2 linked regions of the Caenorhabditis elegans genome follow. The protein of the gene in region 2 purifies or fractionates together with the protein of the main gene of each other region. This does not show direct contact. Each region holds a gene or a part of one and is shown on either strand. Other genes may lie near its edges.

Region 1 (12,933 bases), on a different chromosome or scaffold from region 2:
AATATTTTTGTTTACTTGATCACTATCTTTCCATATTATCGTTTTTTCTTTGAGTTGATCAATTTGATAGACAGAATCTGGTTCTATAAGAGTTTTTCACACAAATTTGGAAAGCAAACATCCAACCCAGGATGGCGAGAAATTCGGACCGATTATTTGTGTTCATGTCATGTTATGAGCACCGCCGACCGAGTACTTGATCGGCTTCAAGCGCTCAGAGCACATGAACATCATTGTTGAGCAGAAATGCTGGAGAATAGAGAAAGATGATTTTTAACTGATTGGGTGATCGAATTGAAATGAAAAAGAACAGAGCACTTGACAGTGAGAACTTCTATATTTAATAATTTATTATTTCAGGAATCGGATCCACTCCAACACGACAATTCGAAATCACACAGGCTTATGGAGGAACAATTCGAGGACCTCCAATGGCAATTGGCGGAGGTCAAGGGATAACACAAATGGGAACTATGGCTGCTGCACCACAATCACATACACATACAGGTGAATATTTTTTTGGAAATTGAAAAATGATGTTCTCGTAGTCAGTAATTGAATTTCTGAATAAAATTACGTAAACTTAAAAAAAATCACATTTTATATCTCATTTCTTATGCATACTTTGCAAAATTTGCTCATATTTTAATGATTAATAAATTGAAAAGATTGTTACATAAATTTGGTGAGAAATCTCTTCAAAAAATAACATTAATTTTAATTAAATATTTTCAATATTTACAGATGGAAATGCTAGCAGTAGTGGATCATGGTTCCGGAAAGATAAAAACAAAAAGAAGGATAAAAAATCGAAAATTAAGAAAGAGGATATTTCTAATCCAACAAACTTTCAGTGAGATTTATTCCGTTTTAATGGTTTAAATTAAACTAAATATTTCAGACATAAAGCTCATGTTGGATGGAATCAGGATAGTGGATTCTCGAATACAGTTTACGACGATGATATGGATGAAGCTACTAAAAATATTCTAAAGGCTGCTGGATTGGAAAGCAATAATCTGAATGAGGATGATAAGAAATTCGTGAAAAAATTCATTGCCAAGAACTATGATAAATATGTATCTGTTGGAAGTTTGGATCCATCACAAATCTCATCACCTCTTCCACCACCAATTCAGCAACATCCACAGATGAATCAGTCATGGAATCAGTTAGTTTTTTTGTTTTCATTTCGGAAAAAAATAACTCCAAACCAGAAAAAATAAATTTAATTATGGTCCGACATCTACTGGGTTTCGCCCCTGTGAAGATACATGCATATGCGCTGTGTGAGTCGAAACCCGGTAGATGTCGGACCATGAAAAAGAGTAATGGCAACGCAATCCCAATTATTCTCCCCCGAAATGCTTTCGATGTAGTTTTTTTTCCGCAAACTTACAAAAAAAGTTAAAAGTAATATGTTTCTGTTACAGTTAACCCTTGAATATATTTTACGACTACTGTTTTTTGTAGCTGAGAACCAGAAATATTATGAAATATTTAATATAAATACTAGAAATATTAGAAATGAAATTAGTGTTGCATTTGGTGAGGGCGTATTTCAGCCATATTAGAAATACGATAACAAAAAAGTTTTATTTTTAAATGAAAAAAAAATTTTCAGAACACCAGTGCGTCAATACAAACCATCATTCCCATCATCTGCTCCGATTGGAAGCGGTGCTTCATCATATTCCACACCTGCCGCTCCTCCACCTCCAACACGTGTCGAATCTCATGGATTGGCTCCAGCTCGTCCACCTCCTCCACCACCGTCATCTGGTACCCGTGGAATTGCACCATCAAGACCTTTACCTCAAGTAAGTAACCGGAGAGTGATTTTCTGAAAAAAATTAATTTATATTCAGGCGCCCAACTATGGAACCCCAGAGAATCGACCACATGCGGTTCCACCACCTCCACCCCCTCCACCACCACAATCATTTGGAATGGCTCCGATATCATCCGCAGCTCCTCCACCACCACCTCCTCCACCACCGATGGGATTGCCAGCAGTAGGAGCAGGAGCTCCACCCCCTCCACCTCCACCACCACCTTCAGGAGCCGGAGGACCTGCATCGGTGCTCGCAAAACTACCACCTGCTCAGGATGGAAGATCGAATTTGCTAGCGGTTAGTATACTTTTAAAAATGTTCACTATTGAATTTTGTATTCAGGAAATCCAAGCTGGAAAACAACTTCGATCCGTTCAACAAACTGCAGATTCACCAAAATCGGCTGGTGGTGATGCTCGTGGAGATGTGATGGCCCAAATTCGACAAGGAGCACAATTAAAACATGTAAGACAATTTTTAACCGAAAATTACTATTGATTCCAATTTTTTTAAACTTTAGGTGGATGCAGCTGCTGAGCAAGAACGTCGAAAGAGTACGACTTCTGGAGCCGCTGGAATGGGAGGATTGGCTGGAGCACTAGCAAAGGCTCTTGAGGAACGTCGAATGAATATGGGAATAGATGATACTAGTGATGATGATGACGATGAAGATGACAAAAATGAATGGTCAGATTAGACTAAATTATCTCATTAAACTTGTTTTCCTTCCATTTTTCGTTTCCTTTTTCTGTGCAAATCCCGTGTGAAACAGGGTAATTTTAGTCCCTCAAGTACAATTCTTGATTTGAAAAATTACAGAATCGTCAATTTCCAAGATAAATTATCATACATTTTGAAAGTGACGAATTTGTAAAACTTGTGCATTTAGTTTTTTTTTTTCTCCAAATCAGTGCCTATTCCGTGTGAATTTCTCTTCGTAAGCCCCCTTCCACACACCCGAAATACCAACAAACTTTTAAAACTCAACCAGTCTTCTTGTTTTTCTCCCGTAGATTTTTCTGTGATGCTCCCCTCTCATCCAAAACCATTGTCCCTTTTTAGACTTACAGCAGAAACGCTCATAATTTTTTTGCATATTATCATTTTTCTGGGTATCCACATAAATAATTTTTGTTTCCAATTCGATGAGAAGTAGAAGCTTTCCGGGTAGAGCTTGTTTATTCACAGGTGTACAATAAGAATAACGGCTAAAATAAATAGCAAAAAAAATGGTTCTGTGTGCTTTTTGGGAACAAATTGAGATTATGAGATGATTTTTTGTAGATTTTTGTGTGATTTATGAACAGAAAATGTAAATTTGAAAATCGCTATTACTGGTTACGGGAAACAACGGGAAAAATTCTAAGAAGAATGATGGAGTCTCGGGATATGAAGAGAAAATATTACACAATAAATTATTAGGAAACATGTTTCATAAACATCTTGATCTATAAGTGACCGCATTGGAAGGACATTTTGGTTGGGAGGAAACGAATCGGAATTGGTTGACAAGAACCCGTAAAAGTGCAACACAATCTGAGATGAAATGGGGAAAAAAGAAACAAATTTAATTCTAAATATGTTTTTTTTTGTTGAGAAAATTATTTCTAAGTGTGATGACTCGAATGCATTCGATATTTATCTTTTACAAGAGTTCCACGATGATGACGACGAGAGCTGTGATGATGATCTGATGCCAGAAGTTCCCTTTCAATGTGAATACCATCAGCTTCTAGGACAGATTGCTCATCTCGCAGGTGGCAACACTGAAATTTGTTGAATTTTCAATAAACTTCCGATCTAGAACTGATATTTACCTTCACAGCGATCGTCCTCAAGAACGGATGCTTCACAGCTTCAGCAGCCGACACTCGATCTTTTCCTTCGTACTGTAAGAATTTCATGAGCAATTCGAATCCGTGAGCATCAATCCGTGGAATTTGACGGCAAAGTGGATCTGGATTGTAATGTCTGTTAGCGTATGGATAGAATGTTGGCTTTTCGCATATTGTCGGATGTCGATCCGGTCGAGGAGATCCAAGTGTTCTGAAGATTTATTTATTTTGAGTTTGTTTTTAAAATGTTCGACATTTTAATGTAAAAAATCTTGGCAGCAATTTTTCATTTAATTCGGAAATTATAGTGCAATATAGGCCCATATCGACATGAGTTACCGTAACCCGTTGTCATTGTGTGAGACCCACGCGGGTAAGATATGACAAAAATTTCAATTTTAGACATCTACGTAATAGTTTGAAGTTTTTAAACATCTTCAGAAACTAAAAATTTGAAGATTTTAAACGAAAAAGATGAAACTGGATGCAAAAAATTAATACTCACCTAAAAATGAGTCCAAGTTGCTCTGTTGGTGTACCACCTGGGAAAAGAGCTCTTCCAGCAATCATCTCAAACAATATACACCCAACACCCCACATATCAATATGTGTCGAATAATCAGTGGAACCAAGAAGAACATCTGGTGGCCTATACCATAATGTGACAACCTCATTTGAATACGTCTTTGTCGGTACGGACTTGGCACGTGCCAGTCCGAAATCCGCAAGTTTAAGCTCTCCTTTTGCAGTAATCAACAAGTTTTGAGGTTTCAAATCTCTATGAAGAACTCTTCGTTGATGACAGTAGGCGAGTCCTCGAAGAAGTTGGTAAAGGAAGAGTCGAATATTATTCATTTGCATTGCATTGTTACATGAATCCATATATTGCTTCAGATCACGATCCACGTACTCGAATACCTTCAAAATTAAATTTATGAATCGAAAATAAATAATCGGGAATCTTTTTCAGATTCTTTCATTTTCTTTATTCTAAAAATAAATAACATACCAATGTTAATAACCGATCCGTATGAATGATATCATGTAAAGTAACAACATTCGCGTGTCGAAGATTCCTTAATAACGAAACTTCGCGAATCGCTGTGCATGGTGCTCCCTCCTCTTGTTCCAAACGTATTTCCTGAAAAATGTGTTTTGTAAATGATAATTTTTAAAATTTTGAGAAATATAATGAAACTGACTTTATTTTTTGTTTTTTATTTTATTTATAAGAACGAAAACATTAAATTACGTTTTTTAACACTTTTTTCTTTTGAAAAAGAAGCTAAAATTCCTATTTCTGGAAAATTATTTGTGTTGGACATAAAAATTGGTATACAAGTAATAAAACCGAAAGCGGAAGCTTGATGTCATAGTGGAAATTAATTTCCTATTCTCATCTTGAAATTTAATCTTTTTTTTGTCTCTGAATACTCACTTTTAGTGCCACAAACTTGTTCGTCAAAATGGATCTTCCTCGGAATACGGTAGCATACGTCCCTTCACCGAGTTTATCCAATTTCTCATAAGTCTCTAATTTTCCAAAGCCAATTTCACTGAGTGATGCTCTTCGATTCTTTCGTGTCAGTGGTTGATCCAATGTTGGTGTTCTGTTAAGCTTGTCGACAACTGCAACCGGAAGACGCAAATCTGCAGGAAGTGACAGTCGCTTTTGGATTTCCTCCTGAAAAAAAAATATACGCAAAATAAAAACAAGTCTTTTGTTAGAAATATTATATGAATTTCAGTGTGATGCATATTCTTTTTTTTTCGATAGATTTCCGGTTCAATTTCCGGCTCATCTCGTGGTAATAACCTAAAATAGACAGAGTTGAATATCTCATGACATTCGAGAAACATCTCAAAAATCACAAATAACACAATTTCAATTTAAACATAGAATAGTACTTACAGAAAAAAAAACCAATTTTTTTCGAAATTGAGCAATTTGCGAAAATCGGCCACCGATATATTTTTTTAATTTTCAAAATGTTTCAGATTTAAAGGAAAAATAATAATATTTTGCCTCAAAATACTTTTTTAAAAAGTCTGAAATTCAGAAATGCCACAAAGGAAAAACTAGATTTTTTAATTTTGGCAGTTTTCGCTGTTTGAATTAATTCTAAAATAAGGATGTTCTGTTTTCAAATATGGGTTTAAAAAATATAGGTTCGGACAAAAAAACACAATTTAAAAAAATTATTTTCAGGCATGTGAATTTAGAATCGAGAATACGAACGTTTTTTTTTTAATATTTAAAGAATTTAAATTTTTTTCTTGGATTTCATATTTCAAAAAAAATTGTGTTACTCCGGTCAAAACTTTTTTTAGTAAAAATCATTTTATTCAATTATTGAACAATTACTTTTCAACTAAGTAAAACCATACCTCACTCCACTTTCTAGCTGTCTTCTGTCGCATTTTCACGTTCACAATGTATCTGAAATATGAAAATTAACATAATATTATAATAAAATATCAATTACCTAGGAGGAACACCTGTTGGCGTTTGATCAGAAGTACACGGAGAAACTTCAACACTCTCTCCATCTGATCCCAAAATCATCGATTCTTGGACAACCGCTGTAAATTGTCAAGTTATTGGCTTCAATTTTACTCAGTCTATAAACTAGTCACATATACAAAGTACATCCTTTTTTTAATAACCATTCCTTTTCAGATTACTAGCTCCAGTTACGTCATAGATGACTCTTATAAGAAGTGGTTTTGAATTACAAAACTACAAAAATTGAGAAATTTTTGTGTTCTACTTAAATCCTTCAAAAGAATGTCAAGACAAATTTCATTCATTGGAAACTTACACAATGAAATGCTTGGCCTTAACATGCACGTGCTACGAGACATGAGTCTCTCACCAGAATCCCTTCCGGAACGTCTTCTGGACACGAACATGTTTAGAAAAGAAGCAAATGTACTGCTTTTCTTCATTTTTCGAAGCCCATCTTCTTCATCTGATTTTCGTTTCTTTTTCTTTTTTGATTTACTTGTATTATTAGATGGAGGAGTTGTTTGAGTTGTAACTCCTGTTGGAGAATGTTCAATATCTTCAGGTGTTATTTCTTCTTCTTCTACAACAATATCATCTTCATCATCTTCATCCTCATATTCTACATCATCCTCGTCTAGATTTCTTCGATCACTTGCATCTTCAAATTCGTCCTCTTCTTCTTCATCAAAATCTTCTTCGTGTAAAGTCGTGACCGGACGTCTCGAATATTCAGAATCATCACAAAAATCATGAAATGTCGCTGATTTGCACATTCTTTTATTTAAACTCGAAGATGTTGTATCTTCCCATCCAACACCAATTTCCTCTTCATCATTTTCACTTTCTCTATCGTATCGAGTATTATCAGATGATGACGTTCCAACTTCATATGCAAGATCTAATAGGTTTTCAGTATCCGAGATCGGGTCCGAACCTCCTGACAGAAGACGCGCCTCGGCGTTCGAATCCGCCGGAGAGTACGCGGTCATGCACTTGGCGGACAACTGAATTAAATTGATAGAGTTCAAGAGAGCGGGATGAAGGAAACAGAACGATGGAAATGAGAAAGTATACAATTAAATAAGGAGCTTAATGGCAAGGGATTTCTTTTAGGATTAATTTCAAATTTAGAAAAACAAAATCTATAAATCTATATGTAAGGAGTTTAGAACCTTGGAAATCAAAATCGTTACATAATTGTACTGATAATTTTCAAAAGTTACACTAGACAAAAGTAATAAAAGTGGTCCTGAAAAATCGTTGGTTTTGATTTTCAGATTTCGAATGCATAGAAATGGCGGAACAAGAATTTATCATGTACGAATCGATGAATTTCTGATGCTTTCCCGGTTTTCAATTCACTGAGAGTGAGGCTAAAAAAGCAAGCTGAAACGGAAATTCAAACGATGAAGGAGAAATAAGAAAATGGAGTATAGAAAAGGAAGATGATGATGAGAGAAGAAAGAGGATAGATGGAAAAGAAGAAGTGTCGATGAATGTCTAATGATAATGGTGTGAAAATGAGTTCATAACACCGATTTGAAAGTTGTCACAACTAATTTATCTTAAAAAAACCTCCAATTCTATTAGTTGTAACTGAATTTACAATTTTGTAAGACCAACTGAGAGGAAGATGAAAAATACGAATTTTCCACTGAAAAATAAAATCGAAGCCTCAAATTTTCACGTTTTGGTTGAGGGAGCTTGCATGCGGACACCTATCCGAAATGTACATAAAAGAAGAGAAAGTGACGTGACCACTTGATTTTTTTGTTGAAAAAAATATGGAATAAGTCACAAAAGACTGAGTAAATCGTGTAGAAACTACGTAATCTGCTCAAAACTAGCATCATATTACTTACTGTTTTTTTGGAATGACCAAGAGTAACTTATTGTGTTGCAAAAGAACGCTTCTATTTTCAGATGAAAAAATAAACGAGATTGTGGGCGTGCAAAAACACATTTGCTGAGATAACTTGTCGTGCCTCTAATGAGCCAACGGAGCACGGCGTCAGGCGTCTCGTCGTAGAAGTAAACTCGAGCATGAATAGCGTGTGCGCAGCTCTCGGCTCGCAAACTAGAATATCCTTCCATCTCTCTCCGTTGAATATTAAACGAGACGCAGACAAAAGCTAGAGAGCTCCGGATGGAGGCGTGGTGCACAAACGCAGACGATACGAAGAAAAGAGCGAAAGAGTAGTAGTAGTGGACGAAGGCAACGACATCGTGTAAGCCAGGGGTGAGAAGAGCAGAGAGTGAGCACAGTGTCGATAGGAGAAGAGTAACGGGGGAGGAGCCCCCCTGTGTCGCCCCTTCTATGAGCACTTCTTCCCCTCTCTCGCCTCTCAGTTTGCCTAACTAATCCGCCTAGTGTTGCTCCTGCTATGACAGAGCCCACGTCGTTCTATAGCAACCGATACAACTTTCAGAATGAAGAGGCTCCAGGTTTTTCAGACGAATATATATATTTTCTTTCTCATTTCTCCAGACTATTTTTCAAAAGAAGTCTCTAGTTTTTATTCTCTTGTTTGTCATGACGTCGTTGTCGTCGTCTTCGAGACTTGAATAGTAATGCTAACGAGAGAAGGGAATAAGGCGTTGGCGGAAAATAATTACCAAATGAATAAGACATGATATTTTCAGAATTCTTGTGAAAATAACATGCAGAATAGAAACTGAAAACTACGACTACGGGTTACACAATATTGGGATGATATAACAATTGATTACAAAAACCTCTTTCTAATTCTTTAGACCTCGTGAACTCAAAATCTCAAAAACCGAATGCCAAAATCTTGAATGTCCTGAGGGACTGAATTGCCTGTGACAAGCGCTCGTCTTCTTCTACTATCCGCCACGTCATCTGCTCACACAGCAGGAAACGTCGGAGGATGAATGAAGACGACGTCCGTGCTCCCAATCACCGCTCTATTGAGCCGCGTGTTATTACATTAAAATCACATCTGTTCACACCCATGCGGTCACTGAATGTCAAAAAGGCACTCGATTGGTGTAAACTTTCCATTCGCGCGATTGTCAACAAGAGAGGATACACCAATAAAAAGTTACTGGCCTACCGCACTTTTTGTCTCCTGCACTGAGCAGTGATTCCGGGTCGGAATGAATAACGATCAGATAGACAGAGGGGTCAAGAGCATCAATCAGAAATTGATGAGAGTTGTGAAACAAGTGCCCCGATTCTTTATGTCATTGAGACTACCACAAGGTTCATTCCATATGCAAAATCTGTCTAGGATGTCAATTATAAATTCGAAATGCGTGTGCTTCGTTGGGAAACCACCTTTGAGTAGTCTCCATGAGCCGCTTCCCGTTTTGCTCTTTTTATCCAAACCGACTTGGACAATAAAAATGATGGAATGAATTTTATTTAGTCAATATTCAATCCTAAAATGGAATTCTTAATGAACCATATAGATTTTATTCTCTATTCACAATTAACTACTAATATAAAGTAGGTTTTTATTTCTAAATATTTTTTTCTGATTAAATAAAATCTTCTGCGATGTTTTATTTCTATCCTTGTAGAACTACTTTCGTTTCGTTTTTTTCTCGAATTTAATTAATTTCATTCTAAGAGAAAAAAGCTCCTCCTCCTACTGTCCTCTGAGCATCGCCGACCAAAAAACAACAATAAATATATATGGACGGGGATAGAGAAATGACTGCTAATCAAGGAGAAAAGGGAGGGAGTGTGATTGTATTATTTCGACCAAAATGGGGACAAAAAGAGATCAATCTTGATTTTCCTATGAGAATTTTGAAAAAAATAAGTTATACTTTCTTGGAAAAAAACATTCTGGGTCTGCTGAATATATACCCGTATGATGCAAAAGACGTTGACAGCAGGAGCGAACGAACGAGGAAGAAAACCTGACATTCCGTAATCCCTAACCTTTTTTGACTGCTGCCTACTTCCTCCACTCCCGACTTGGACGTCATATTGAACGTCGTCCATTGGCTGTCGATTAGCGGTGGACAGAATGAGCATTGTTATGCTCAATTTGAGGTGATTGTTACACAGGAAAGAGAGTGAGAGAGTAAATAGGACAACTAGGGACGAAGAAGAAGAAGATGAAGCTGTTGAATCTTAACACAATTTGCACGTCTTCTAACCTTTCTGACGCTCTTGCAGGAATTCAGTGTGAAAGAGCAGCAAGATTGTGCGAAGATGTAAAAGCAAGGCTGGGAAAAAAGAGCACAGAGCCAAAGTGGAGGTACTTAGAGAGCAGAGAAAGTTCAGAGTGAGAAATAAGATTCGAAGTGTTCTTTTTAAAACATAGATCAGAATTAATAACTATTATAGTTATTCTAAATAAAATCAGGAACCTTGAATTAATGTGAGCTGGCGTTTTAGAGACTTTATGTTGGTTAATACTGATAAAATGAAATTTGGAACCCCAAACCCAACAGCTCCAAACGGATTTTGATGGATAAGTCTTGGTTTGAAGAGGAGCATCGCACACGCACATCCACATACACAAAATAAAAATGCGAAAAAAAAGTTTTCGGGGTTGAAATGGATGGGCTTTACTTCTTCCACACATCGGAGCCATCGCGGCGGGGAGGTGAACAAAAGAAACATTCGACGGATAATATAATGTGGAAGTAGTGTGGAAGAAGAGGACATCTTGCAGAAAGGAGCACTCGAAAGTACTTTCAAATTTTCATGAAAACCGCATGTGGACCCTTTCAATATAGTTTATAAAATGGAAATTCAAGTTTTCTTTTTAGAAAATTATTTCCTATATCAACTTATTCAGTTTTTGTAAAACACATACCAAACGCAGAAAGAATTCAGCAATAAAACCAGTATTTCGCCCAAATTTAGGCTCAATTTATGATCAATTTGAACTCGAAATGAATTGAACTGGGGGTAATTAAGTTCAGAGGAGGTGTCGAGAAACCCGCCCTCATCGAGGGATATAAAACTGTAGTTAATACGTGCGAAACAGCTGCGGAAAGATGAAAGATGAGGAGAGGTCTTTCGATGTGTTCATGAACCAAAATAATTTATTTTTTCCTTTGAATTTTAAATTCAATAAAAAACACCGAAACCACAAAATGAGACGTCTGGGTTTAAATATAAAACTACTCAAATGGTGCTAAAATGAACAAATCATAGTTTTTCAGAATTTTAAATTTTTACAATTATTCAGATATTCAATTTTTCCGAAATAAAAACCATTTCAAATAAAATTTTCAATTCAAAAGATCATTTATAAAATTTTGAAGCACAACAAACGTCATTTTTTGCATATGGAATGATCAGATTTGCATACAGAAAATGTTTCGGAAGGGCACATAGTATAAAACAAAATAGGTTTATAACAGTGTTTGTCTTTCTCATAACCTTCCGAAATGTTTTTTTTGCCTGTGTGAACGCCCGTAAACCGACTTTAAGAAAAAATAAGAAAAGTTCAGAAGAGTTTTGGAATGGGAGAAAGAGATCACAGACAAAAAGTGAAACAATAGTTTTTGAATGGAGGGACAGGGGCGAGTAGAAGAAAAAGACGACGAAGACAGCCACATCTGGTAGGGCAACAACATTTCATTTGTGTATTTGTGCTCACAGAGGACATAAACAACAAAATTTGGAAAAAAAGTTAATGGCACGTCTTGAAAGGTGTTCTTTTTGACATTGATATCTGATAATTATATTCTATTGATGTATTTTGATCAATTATTATTTGGAGGAAACAAAACCCACAAACTCTATTCCATCATTCACTATGAGCTACAGTAACCCAGGAAAAAACCATGAGCATCGTCTTACTTTATTGCCTGCAACGGAGATTCACGGGACAGAAGGTTTTGGAAATAAGGAAAAATGAAGTGATTCTCATAGTGAATTTCTTCCAACAACTCACTGAATGACAATGGGCAATCGGAAGCCTTCGTGTGGGTATCAATTAACCGGCCATTGTCAGTACGTGTGTTCGTTGTTGGAGAATAGTGATTAATCGGAAAGAGAAGATGACAGGGGGCGGCATGTTAAAAATGAAAAAAAAAAAGAACAAGTAGAAACTAGTAATGTTTCGAAATTAATAGTAGTCGGTGGGCAGAAATGATGGAAAACACTATAGGAGAACAAAAACTATAATTACGGTAAACGCAATAGTACCAAGCATAAACTTTCTGAACATTCTAAAGGCAAAAAGACTATTTTTCTCTCATATAAAGAATTTCTAAAATCCCCATCTATTCTTAGTCTAAATCTATTCTTAGTTTCCTAGTAAAAATCACTAGAATAAGAGAAAAATGACAACGTTGAAGAATATATAATCCAGCTGTGTGACTGACTGACCGATAATTCAACTGGAAAATGAAATAAAAATAGATCTTAAGGCTATATGGAAAAAAGTGTTAAGCATAATTTGAATTAAAATAAATTATTCTAGGTGAAAACATTTAGTGAATTTAAACCGGCACATGACCAGAAACACCTGCAAAAAAGGTAAAGAAACCAGGTGCAAACTGAGGAAAAATTGAAATACACAAATGTGTGGTGAAGAACAGATGTTTTGACCTACATTAATTAGTGTATTTCGAAATACTTACTCCAGAGTAAAAATGGTTATTAGAACTTCCAAAATCAAAATTTAATTTATGAAACTTTCCTCTAGTTCTATAATTTTCTAAATTTCATTTCAGAGAAACTATGATTCGTAAAAATCTAGAATAGCAGAACTCAAAAATTCTTGCTCTTCATTTCAAAAATAAGAGGAAGAAGAAA
Region 2 (12,165 bases):
TTCCGGGATGCATTTGTGTGTGCCTAAGGCCTGAACGCCTAATTGCCTGCCTACTGCCTAGATTCAGAATTTTCGGATGTTAGCACACCCAGTCTCGACACGATAATTTTTTGCGAAAATGCGTGCTTCTTTATTTTTGAGGTTTTCAATGAATTAATATTTCTGATCGAAGAACTAGTAACAATCGATGAAAATTCTGCAACGATGAGAGTTTGAAGTTACAGTACACTTTAAAGGTGCGTATATTATTTTATCAAAATGATGGCGTGTCGAGACCAAGTACAGTATTTTTGGGGCCAACATCGCTACATTTCGATAAACTTAACATGTCTTTTAAAAACTACCGTAACCCAATACGATATTATACAACGATAACGCGTACTTTCTCAACCAAAGAGATAATGACGTGGCATTATTACAGTATACCAAATTCCTATTATGATTCATGCATCCTTTATGTATTGTTTTGTACAATTCTGCCTTTGTTCTGCGTCTCTTCACAATTGACCAATCCTTGTTCATTCCATTGAATTCATTTCGCAACAAAAAATGTATGCTTCTTCCATTTTTTTCACCCTCGCGGCCACCGTCTTTTTAAGTGTAGAGGAGCGCACTTCTGCGTCTCTTCTCCAATAAACACTATTTCAGTTTCCCGCTCACATTCATTCGTTCATAAATATATTGTGAGAGAAAAAAAGAAATGGGAGGAGAGAAGTGTATGTGTGCGTATGTGCCCCCCAGAGGGTTGTCATTTTGTCGTCAAAGGGTTACTGCTGGGCGTTGAAGATTGAAGATGCAGATGCCCGTGGAATGGATTACGGTAGACGGAAGACAATTGAGAGAAATAATTTACTTCAAAGAAGAATTTGAGGGACATACTTTCCGACAAATGTCGTGTATTGTTACAATTTAAACATTTCAATCGAAAATACTGGTAGTCAATATGAAACCACGTGGATTGATTAACACTAACGAATTCACAAGTAATCAATAATTAATTATTTTAGAAAAGTCCCTTGGCAACAGCATCTGGAATCTCGTTTTTATGATCTTTGAGTTGAGCTCTTGATTCGTATGTGGCAATTGCAATCTGAAAATTGGTTTTTTTCCGAGGCGACAAATTAAAATTCTGTAAAAGCCAGATGTGCAATTTTTACACCAAAAATACAGTACTTGGTCTTGACACGACGATTGTTTGTAAAATGTGAAATGGTGTGCGCCTTTGAAGAGTACGGTATTTAAAACTTTCATTTCTTCGACGTTTAAAAAAATGTAAATTTTTTTAAAAAGTTTTTCAATAATAAAAATTTTAAATCCAGAAAAATCAATAAAACTTTCTGCAGTATCTAACAAGATTTAAAAATTACAGTACTCTTTTAAGACGCACATCTTTTCTCCTTTCACAAATTCGTCGTGTCGAGACCCATTGGTGAAAAAATATTTCGCGTCTGGCTAATATTCAAATTTTTCCTTACCCTTTGTCTGAACTCGTGCTGAAATTCTCCACGTAATCCGATATAGTAGATCTTTGTCTCATCTTCTCCAAAGTTTGCATCTACCAAAATCGATAGATTATGAATATTTCCAAACTTTGAAGCTTTCAACGGATAATCCACGAGTCCTTGTGGATCTTGTTTCAAATCAATTTCCTGATCTGCCTCAATACTACAGTCATCAAATGACATTGCCTCTCGATCTTTGAACAATCGAATTTTGGCTGGATGTGATCCATCTTCGTCTCCGATTATCGAGAGACCCGTTAGACGAACGTGTCCGGTGAATGGAATATTGAATAGCAACTCGTGATCGCAATCACTTTCTACGTATTCCAATCTGAAATTTGATTTTTAAGAGTGTATATGTACGTGTATACTTTTCTTTCTCTGGACATTGGGGCATTAGTTGACAGATTAGTTGTTCAGGTTGTTCTATTGACAGATAGAAAGACAGCTGTCAGCAATTTGATACAATAAGTACTTAAGTTTATCTTCATTACGAAAAAGTATTTAGCGAACCTTCAGAATACCTAGTTTAATTTTAAAACTTTAACATTACCATATGACTTATTTGTTTTAAATAATCTAAATTATGTGGCTGCGTGGCGGGTACGGTAGATTACTGTAAGATCGCTGCGAGATGTGATTAAAGCTGAGTCCCATATTACCCGGACGCGAATTTTGAGATTTTTAACAAAATACGGTACACGGTCTCGACACGACTAAATTTTTAATGCGAAAATGTGTGCGTCTTTAAAGAGTTAGAGAGTACTGTAGTTTCGAACGTTCGATATTGCGGATCTTCATAGATTTGTCATAGTTTTTTTCGGTAAATACATTTATATATTTAATAACTCAAATATAAACACATAAATTTGAACAAAACGTGAAATAAAAACTATGTTGATAAAAATTCGACAGAAATGAGCGTTAGTCTACAGTACTCTATAAACTCTACCGTACTCTGTAAATGCGCACATCTTTTCTCATTTGGAAAATAATTGTCGTGTTGAGACCGGGTACCGTATTCTTGTCGCCAAAATTACAAATTTTCACGTCTGGGAATTTAAGTTTATACCAATTTCTGTGAGTAATACTGAAGAGTTGTCAACTTTTTCCGATTAGCCACTATTTCGTAGACATAAATAATTTTCAAAATACTCCCCATTACCACAATACTCTTTAAAATGGAATGTTTTATCGTCGGAATAATCCTATATAAAAATGTAATCCTCATGTACTAGCTAACCTGTCATCTCTTTTTTCCATCACCTTGAAAACCTTCTTTCCGGCGCCGTCGACTGACTCGTTGAGAGTAGTTACCTGAGAGAATTGGTATCAATTTAATTGCTGAATTGAATAATAAAAACGTTGACAGCGGATGGCATTTCTCGCGATGCGTTTTCCTAATTTTGTGAGATTGTAGGGAGAAGTTACAGTTAACGCATTTTAAATTTAATTTTTATTTTAATTTCGAACAAGAATATTTAATTAGTTCTTGAAAAACTATTCCTGTTTTTTTCGATACTCAGAATATTTATATGTTTCATCTTACAATGCATCTTTCAATTATTTATTTATGGGTACGTAGAAAAAAGCCTCTTTGGCATAGAGGTGCAAGCGCGCTCCAACACTAAATAAATACGCTCCGCCCCCAAACATTGGGTCTCGTTAGGTATCTTCGGGAAAACTTTAAATTCGAACGTTTTAAGTGTGTTTTTGCTGATTTCAATCATTTTTGTTTTTTATGTTTACCTTTTCCATGTCAATATAGCTGACCATATCGTAGCGATACACGTCATCACCTGGAACTTCTGGAATGTGCTCTGCGGCACAATTGTGAGAATGACCATGTGAACACATCTGGACAAAAAACTATTTAAACTACTTTTGAATAAATGCCAAGTATCGGTATTTTTCAACCATCAAATATTAAAACACTCTGAAAAAGTTTTTCAGAAAACAATTTTACTGTAATCGATTCAAATGTATCTATTCAAAAGAGGACATGGGTTGATCATGGTGATACAGAAGTATTTGCAGATATTTTGTAATACTGGAGGGATCGAAAGAAAACAAAGAAAGAGAAAATGAGATTTTCTGAGATAGGTATTGAGTCAATTAAATAGCCAACAAACTTCTTTTTTTGAAAATACAAGCAATTTGAGAAGGAAAACAAGATGGGGTTTGTCAAAGGAAACGAATTTAGCCGTATTCAAGATAAAACGATAGTGTGCAGAGAAATAATTAAGAGAATAGCAAAGGAAGAAGCAAAAACATTAACAGTTGACAAGACATACAAAAGAAACATTATGGCGTTTTCAAATTATTATGCATTGGGGTTGACTGGGGCAGGTTGAAATAAGTTACATGCGAGAATAAACTGTAGCGGTTTTGGAAATACCTTCTCTTTTAACATTCTTGAAATCAAAAAGAAGGCAAATCCATTGAAACTACAGAATTATAAATATTACAATAAATTGACTGAACAAAATATTTAAATTAGAAAAAAAAATGTCTACGAGAGAACAGCCGGATGCTCAAAGACAAGATGTTCAGCTGACCGGGCACGCTTTGGAAGCGATGATGATTGAATCTTATCCTCGAAGACACGGCTCAAAGCCTGTAAAATTGTTGAATAAGAAATTGGGAAGAATTTAAAAAGTTTTTTTCAAATGTTGAAACTTTCAGAATTATTTTTTCGAGAATAAACAGCACATTAAAAATCATGTTTCAATCTTATTGCATACAAAGGATATTACTATTTGACAATTTTTCTTTGTTCTTATTTTCTTTTTTTTTATATGTTTTTCGATTTTACACAGAAAAAAAAAACGCAAATTTTCGTATTTTTTCGATTTATATTTTCAAATTTTTTTTTTTAATTTTGACCATTATCGCTCTTTTTTGAAAATAATTTATGTTTTCTTCTCATCAACATAGACATAATTCGATGAAAAATTCATTTTTTCTGTTAATTTTCAGAAAATATTTTTTTCGATTTTTCTATGAAAATTTTTCAATTATTCCAATAGACTAAAATATTAAATTTTGAAAAAAAATTGCAAAAAAAACAGAAAAACATCAGAGACCCCTTTGATCTAAAAATTGACATTTCTTTTTGTTTATGCAACAAAAAAATAATTTTTTTTGGTAATTTTTAACTTTTTCCCCGAAAATCAATTGTCAAAAAGGTTACCTCTAATCTTTGCGCTCTCTCCTTATACAACGGTTGAATTGGTAATTGTAAATCATTTGCAAGTGCCAATGTTCGAAGATCGAAATAATACTTGGCATACACCGACGACGGAACTTCAATATTAAAGTCGAGACATTCCAAAAACCGCCGTTCTAATTCGTTCCTGAAATAATTTAATTACGGGGTTTCTGACCAAATAAAAAAAATACTTACATATCGTCAACATTTGTATCTCGAAGAATTTGGCAATAATCAACATTCCAAACAGCTTGATCATCCCATACTTTTGATGCCAACATGATTGAACCGAGTACAACCCGACGCCAATTTGAAGGACACAAATCCATTTCTGCGTAATTAAGCAATCGTTCGATGTACACCTGAAAAAATGGTTTTCGCGTTTTTATACAAAATTGATAAATTTATTAAAGAAAAGAGAAATGCGTCGGCAGCAGAAAATCAAAATTGGGTAATTCAACTACGATAGCGAAAAGTTAAAATATTACCAGTGCGTGAATTTTTTGCGCTACAAATACAGTACATGGTCTCGACACGATAAATGCGGAAAGGTGTGCGTCTTTAAAGATTACTGTAATTTCAAACTTTGGATCCCCGACATTTTCATAATTTTTTTTCTAATTTTCTCATGATCTGTTAAAATTTATGTAGTTTTTAACAAATCAATATTTTTCATCGGAAAAATACGAAAAATCAATGAAAATTCCGTAGTCGAAAGAATTTGAAATTACCATTTTTTTTCATAGAAAAACTTTGTTTTTTTTCAGAAAAAATCTTTAAAAAAGAAGAATAATGGCCAAAAATTTATAAGTTATTTTTTTTCGAAAATTAGATTTTTTAATGTCGGAAAAACGAAAATTTTAATTTTTCATTAAAATCGAATAACGAAAATTTTTGAACCTTTTTTGGCACAAAAATTGCAAAACGTTGTGTCTTTTTAATATTTTTTCAATAGAACAAGGCGAATCTTCTACACAAATACATTTTTGCCAAATCTCATGATATTCATTTAAAAAGATTTTAACCGAAAAAAAAACTCACCAAAGTAATAATAGCACATTCGGCGGTCAACTGCGCAGAACTAAACAGATTTCTGACAAACCGATAAATATTCCGATGATCAGGATCCCGTGTCATTTGCTCTGGAGGTATAGGATCTCTCTGAAAAATCTTCGAAAAATGTATGGAACTTATGGATTGATTGATAAAACTTACGAAAATCGGATGAAGTCGTTCTTCGAAAATCTCCATTAGTCGCTCGTGTCCACGATTTTTACGATTTGAAATATGATAATATATTGCAAGAGAAATGCATTTTATTGTATTCTTAAGATGAGGTTGACTGACTGTTGAATCATCTAAAATTTGAGAAATCAGAGAATGTTTATGAAATCTTTAATTACCAATATAAATAGTACTGCAGCTGCTTGATTTACGCAGGCTTCTGGGTAAAATTCCGGGATGATGACCACCAGCTGCCAATGCATCCAACATATAACATGAACGACGATTGTCTTTTACTGGAATTGATAAGAATAGATTCAAGGATTAGAAGAAAAAGAATTTTACATTTCATTTCACTTTTACTTCGTTCCATAAATGTTGGCCGAGCTGTTGGATTCGTTGATGGATCTTCCTCGTATCCTTAAAAAATATGAATTTAAAAATATATACTTCAGTGATATAATTACCTTCTGTTACCTCTCGTTCACTTATGTGAGGAAGGAAGTTTGTCGATGTTTCATCACGAGGGAACACTTGATTGACATACTGGAACTGAATTTTAAATTTAGGTTTTTGTAGAAAGAGGTTTTCGAATATTTTTACCTTTAAAATATAATTTTAAATAATCTTGTACTCGTGAAGCTTATTAAAGCCCTTTAAACCAAATTTGTGTAAATAAAAAATATTATTCTCTTCGAAATGTATATTTTCAGAGCTTTATAGTTTTTTTTTAAATTAAAAACAATTATTCCAACAATCGATATCAAAGTTTCCATTTATGCAAACTTTTTCAAAAAATAACTTTGTATACCTCCACTTGATTAGTTCTAATATACTGTCCATCATTATTATACGATTTGTCCTCTCCGCTCGACGACCTCGTTCGCAGACAACACGATGAATTTCCCATCACCTGTAAACAATTATTGGTTTAAATTCAAAGTTTCAAAGACAATGTTACTAATTTCAACTTACGGAACACGTTTAATCTCCAAAAACCAAAATTATCGCATTAGGAGTGACTAGAAACTTGGGAAGCGAGTCCTGCAAATTAATGGAAAATCGATAAAGTGTGGGGAACGGAGCACAAGAAAAAATCTGTCTAGTAATGTTTATTCAATTGTTAATTGATAAATTGTTTGCAAATTAAATATAAAACAAATATTTTCTATGAGAAAAGCGAAGAAAAACAGAGAAAAATCCATTTCTTCAATGTAAAAATCGCAGAGAGCGGTGGTGGGCGGAGTTTATGGCAGGAGGCGGAGTCGGAATGCAACCCCCGCACGGTTTCTTCTCTCCACGAATTATTCGACGTCTTTTTATTTTTATAAATTTTTTAGCCACTTTTTTATTTATTTTGCTGGAATAAATCAATTAAGAACGCTTTCTGTAGAAAATTTTAGGTTATTTTATCTCAATAACTAAATGTTTACTCTTCGATTTCTGAAAATCGTATCTTTTCACATGAATCGATAAGTTATATTAAAATTTACAGAATGCAGTGGTTTGGTGGCAACGTAGCGACTGCGATTCAAATTTCCCGTAAGAACAAAGCTCTTCTCATTGTATATATCACCACGGATTCGGAAGATGGCCAGATTTTCGATGGGTTTTGGCAACATATCGATTCGTCAAATCTTTTATGCGCAGTAGTGGGAATAAAACTGAAAGCTGGTGAAACTTCTGCCCAGCAGTTTGCTGATATTTGTAAGTTGGAATGTTTAAATTATAGCAGTTCAGCCAAAATGTTATCTTTTTAGATCCTACACCAATTCTGCCAGCAGCATATCTAATCGATCAAAATGGAAAACCTTTGGAAGTCATCACTCCGCTCGTTGGAAAAACATATGACCAGTTCCGAGCCAAATTTGATAAAGCTACTGCTCAATTCGTCAATGGGATGCCAACAGCAGCTGCAAATCAACTTTCAACACCTAGTCCTTCTCCCGCCCCTGTCCAAGTACCAGCGTCAACGGATGCCCCAATCCCAGCCCCAACACCTGTTACAGCACCAATTCAATCTTCATCAACTTCTCAGGAAATGACTCGTGAACTTGCAGAGAAGGTAGCAAGAGCTAAAGCTCTTCTAGAGCAAAAAAAGCAAAAAGATGCTGAAAAGAAGCGAGAGGCCGACAAACATGTAAAGGAAGAAATGACAAAAGCACGCGAAGCAAAACAGGAAAGAGATGCTGAAGCGTTGGTCAAAGCAGCGAAACAGAGGAAGATGGAAAAATTGGCAGCCGAAAGTGATAAGAAACGAATTTTGGCCCAAATTAAAGCTGATCGGTAAGATTTTAATTTAGTGTTTCTAAAATATAAATATTTTTCAGCGAAGCTGCTCAGAAAAAGTTCGGGAAACTTGTGAACACTGAAAACGCTTCGGAGAATACTGAAAAGAAACAAGAAACCACTGTTGGAAAGGCTGTGCCATCAGACAGGTTAGAAAATTAATTGATAACTGATAATTTATGAATTTATTGTAGGTGTCGTCTACAAGTTCGACTTCCTGATGGTTCTACTTTTGTAGAAGAATTTCCTTCAAATGATGTTCTCAATTCTCTCGTAGAGATCATTCGTCAAAAGCCCTCTATTGCTGGAACTACTTTTGAAATTCAGCAACCGTATCCACGCCGCATATTTACAAATGATGACTATTCGAAAACATTCCTCGAGAATCAATTAACACCCTCTACCGCACTTGTCGTAATTCAAAAATCGTCGGGTTCCTCTTCAAATTATGGATCTTTCTCGCTCAGTACTCAAACCGTATCCTTTGTAACATGGGTTTTATACCCACTCACTGCTTTTTGGAATATTTTCTGTGGTATGATTGGCTGGAATTCTACCGGAAAACAACAAGACTCGAAATCTAAGAAAAACGATGGGCCATCTACATCGGGTCAATCAGGATCACAACCACAAAGACGCGGGATGCCAAGGAGTGCGGAAGTTCGTCGGGTTTGTGTGCATTGTTATTTTCTTTCCATAATGAAATTATTTTCAGCGTGGAAACGTCGCAGGGCTTGAAAATCCGAATGAAGACGATCCTGAAGAGCGAGCCAGTTTCAATGGAAATTCTACTCAGTTCATGTAATAATGTAAATTTCTTGTCGCCTGTGATTCCAACACCAAAAGTTCATCGCCATGGATAATTTATTTTTTGCTCGTTTATAATTCGAATCGAATAAAAGTTTTCATTTATCCCAGATATGTTCAGTTTTCTTGCTGAGTTTTCGGATTTTAAACCATAACTTTATACCTATTCTTTACAATGTTAAAAACATATTTTCTCAAACTCTATTGTGTTAAGATGACAGAAACAGAATCCCAGAAGCAAATAAAACTGGAAATATGCATCGATAATCTGGAATCTGCGGAAAATGCTGTTGCCGGTGGAGCTGATCGATTGGAAGTTTGCTCAGCTTTACAACTCGGAGGGCTCACTCCATCCGTCGGATTTGTGTCTATTCTGAGCTACAAGTATCCCGATATTCCACTTTATTGTATGATTCGCCAACGGGCAGGCGATTTTGTGTATAATGAAGACGAAATGGCAGCGAATATGGAAGACGTTGAATGGCTCAAAAAAGCTGGTGCCACAGGATTCGTTTTTGGAGCATTAACATCGTAAGTCGGAGAGTTTTAAATTGAATGAAACAAATAAATATATTATAATTTTATTTCCAACATGTTTAAATGAAAAAAGAAAAACATATTCTTGTTTCATTTCGAATTTTTCACCATTTTCCGCAAATAAATTCTCAATCAAGTTTATCAATAAAAATTTTACATAACATTTAAATAATTATTTTTAGGCTGACTTAATTTTTGAACAATGCGGAAAGCTTGTTTTTAAAAAACATTTAAAATGCATAGACATGCGGCAAAATTACGAAAGAAGTTTTGTAATTATAACGGTTGATTGCTCTGGATGATCCACAAAAAATTTCAATTTTCAGAGCCGGTTCATTGGATCGTACATCATGTCAATCAATAATTGAAACTGCCCGTCCACATCCTGTCACATTTCATCGAGCAATTGACGTCGCCTATGACTGGAAAACTTGTCTTGAGGACGCTATTGATGTTGGATTCAAAGCTGTTTTGACAAGTGGACAAGAGCCGTCAGCACTCGACGGAGTTTATATCATTCGAGAAATGCAAGAACTTCACAAAGGAAAGATCGATGTTCTCGCAGGTTGTGGTGTGAACAGTTCGAATGTCGCGAATCTTGTCGAATGGACTAAATGTCACTGGTATCATGCTTCAGCTTCTGTTGCCAAGAAAAATGCTCCATTGAATAAGGTGTCAATGGGAAAACAGGACAATCAGCCATCACGTGTCACTTCTTTGGAAGAAGTACGGATGTTGAAAGCGACATTGGCCCCCGTTTAATTATGTTCAATTCTTTTTCATGTCATATTCCAGTCTATATTGCATGCTTCATCATAGTTTCTAACATTTTCATTGTGTTTTGCAATTAGTTGGCTAGAATTTTTCTGTACCGAAAGTTATTTATTAATTTTAGAAGCTCACTAATCAATTAGATATTCGAAGTAGCATGTTTTTTTACTCTACGGGATTGTGAGGGTTATCAATTTATTTATGCCTAGGCAACTTTAATATAGGAGTTGATTTGAACTTAATTAAAATTTTAAATTTCGCTCCTCATTATTTCACAACCTCTCAAATTTTAGACCACGAATGTATGCAAACACGCGCCCTGAAGATTTGTTCCTTCTCTCAATTTCTCATTTTTTTGCTCTACATTTTCTCTCGCCATTTTTTATCATCCTTTTCTCGCATTTATGTTTCTCTGGTCACTCTTTCTCTACCTGCTGGAGGAACTGATAAACGGTTTATTTGAGTAATAATTTTTACACCTTTTTTCTAAAAAGAGTTTGCCTTTTTTAGTCTGAATACTATAGTTTATACTTTCCAACTTTGTTTTTTTTTAATTCAAAAGGTTTTCAAAGTTTCTAATTTCAGTGATTAGTGTCACCTAAAAATGACACAAGTCCTCGTTCGTAACGGGATTCAAGCTGTTGGAGATGGCCTGACTAGCCTAATCATTGTTGGAAAGAAGAGTGTCTTGAAAAATGTGACTTTCGAAGGAAAATTCAAAGAAGTCGCACAAAAGTTTGTTACAGGTTCGGTTTTGGTAGATTACACAAACGCGATGTTTTTTGATTTTTGTCCAAAATTACGGTACATGGTCACTTTCGTTTAAAAAAATTCATATATATCTAGAGATATCTATATACATACTAAATATTAAACATATATTAAATAAAAACACATACATTTTAACAAAGCGCGGAAGAGACTATGGAAACATACCCGTGCGGCATTTGGTTTCGGCATTTGAACAAAATGCACTTTTTCATAAATATGAAAATACGTATATGTATGAAATAGCATACGATGAGAAGCCTGACTCTTAGGCTTGTCACCAGTCAAAAAAATTTCAAAAAAAGTTTACCCCTGCTCGAGATATGCACCCAAATGCCGTATGGCGAATGCCGTATGCCGTATGCCGTATGACGTATTTTCATATTTATGAAAAAGTGCATTTTGTTCAAATGCCGAAACCAAATGCCGCACAGGTATGTATGGAAAATCATGAACCATTCAGAATAAATGAGATTTTGAAATTACAGTACTCTAAAAGACCCACACCTCCCTGTAGTTTACAAAAATGTCTCTTGTCGAGACCTGGTACCGTATGGTTGGTGTAAAGAGAACAACATTTTGCATCTGCAGATGGTTCATACTTTTCCATAATATAAAAATAATTTCAGATGGCGACTCATGGAACTCTATGATTTCTCGAATCCCCGCCTCAGGACGTCATCCTCTTCACTACGAGCTGGCTCATTTGATCACTGTCCCAGATGCCTCTTCACGTGGAAATACCCCCACTAATGCTCATTCGATATATAAGGAGTTAAAACCAATCAACTATCCTGAGGATACAAAGAATGTTCATTTTGTGCTGTTTGCTGAATATCCAGATGTTCTTTCTCACGTTGCGGCTATTGCTCGGACCTTCTGCAAGTTCTCGATGAAAACTTCAGGAATTCGTGAACTGAATGTGAATATCGATGTGGTTTGCGACAAGGTATGTGACAACTATCCTTCATTTTGATATATTGATCTGTATAGTTTTATCATCACTGATAGACAGCAGACACCATGTGCTTGCTTCTATTTGCAAAGTCAGCCTGG

What was found.
Region 1: the proteins of cyy-1 (region 2) and pct-1 purify together in Caenorhabditis elegans (affinity purification with western blotting, with the first as the bait; one study listed by BioGRID). This does not show direct contact.

The regions. Positions count from the first base shown.
Region 1 is NC_003282.8:8,178,945-8,191,877, reverse strand, and holds pct-1 (Cyclin-dependent kinase 17), read right to left. Parts: upstream 7,186-12,933; 5' UTR 7,169-7,185; coding exon 6,493-7,168; intron 6,254-6,492; coding exon 6,157-6,253; intron 6,111-6,156; coding exon 6,059-6,110; intron 5,355-6,058; coding exon 5,109-5,354; intron 4,812-5,108; coding exon 4,680-4,811; intron 4,589-4,679; coding exon 4,176-4,588; intron 3,882-4,175; coding exon 3,653-3,881; intron 3,602-3,652; coding exon 3,443-3,601; 3' UTR 2,996-3,442; downstream 1-2,995. Other genes in the region: wsp-1 (CRIB domain-containing protein), read left to right, coding at 361-507, 745-853, 902-1,171, 1,625-1,820, 1,869-2,132, 2,178-2,300, 2,356-2,532. UniProt on the Caenorhabditis elegans protein: Serine/threonine-protein kinase, which, in association with cyy-1, regulates the trafficking of synaptic vesicles in the DA9 motor neuron and probably also in the DD motor neurons and in RIA interneurons.
Region 2 is NC_003281.10:8,400,690-8,412,854, reverse strand, and holds cyy-1 (Cyclin-Y), read right to left. Parts: upstream 6,982-12,165; 5' UTR 6,913-6,981; intron 6,851-6,912; 5' UTR 6,848-6,850; coding exon 6,749-6,847; intron 6,490-6,748; coding exon 6,405-6,489; intron 6,358-6,404; coding exon 6,283-6,357; intron 6,234-6,282; coding exon 6,117-6,233; intron 6,072-6,116; coding exon 5,929-6,071; intron 5,875-5,928; coding exon 5,755-5,874; intron 5,076-5,754; coding exon 4,909-5,075; intron 4,859-4,908; coding exon 4,696-4,858; intron 4,120-4,695; coding exon 4,015-4,119; 3' UTR 3,449-4,014; downstream 1-3,448. Other genes in the region: PITH domain-containing protein ZK353.9, read right to left, coding at 1,004-1,090, 1,476-1,833, 2,746-2,819, 3,252-3,359; ubxn-4 (UBX domain-containing protein 4), read left to right, coding at 7,434-7,644, 7,698-8,223, 8,268-8,375, 8,421-8,895, 8,942-9,031; cutc-1 (Copper homeostasis protein cutC homolog), read left to right, coding at 9,248-9,564, 9,897-10,332; lap-1 (Leucine aminopeptidase 1), read left to right, coding at 10,946-11,087, 11,739-12,058. UniProt on the Caenorhabditis elegans protein: In association with pct-1, regulates the trafficking of synaptic vesicle precursors in DA motor neurons by promoting anterograde trafficking to the axon and preventing dynein-dependent trafficking to the dendrite.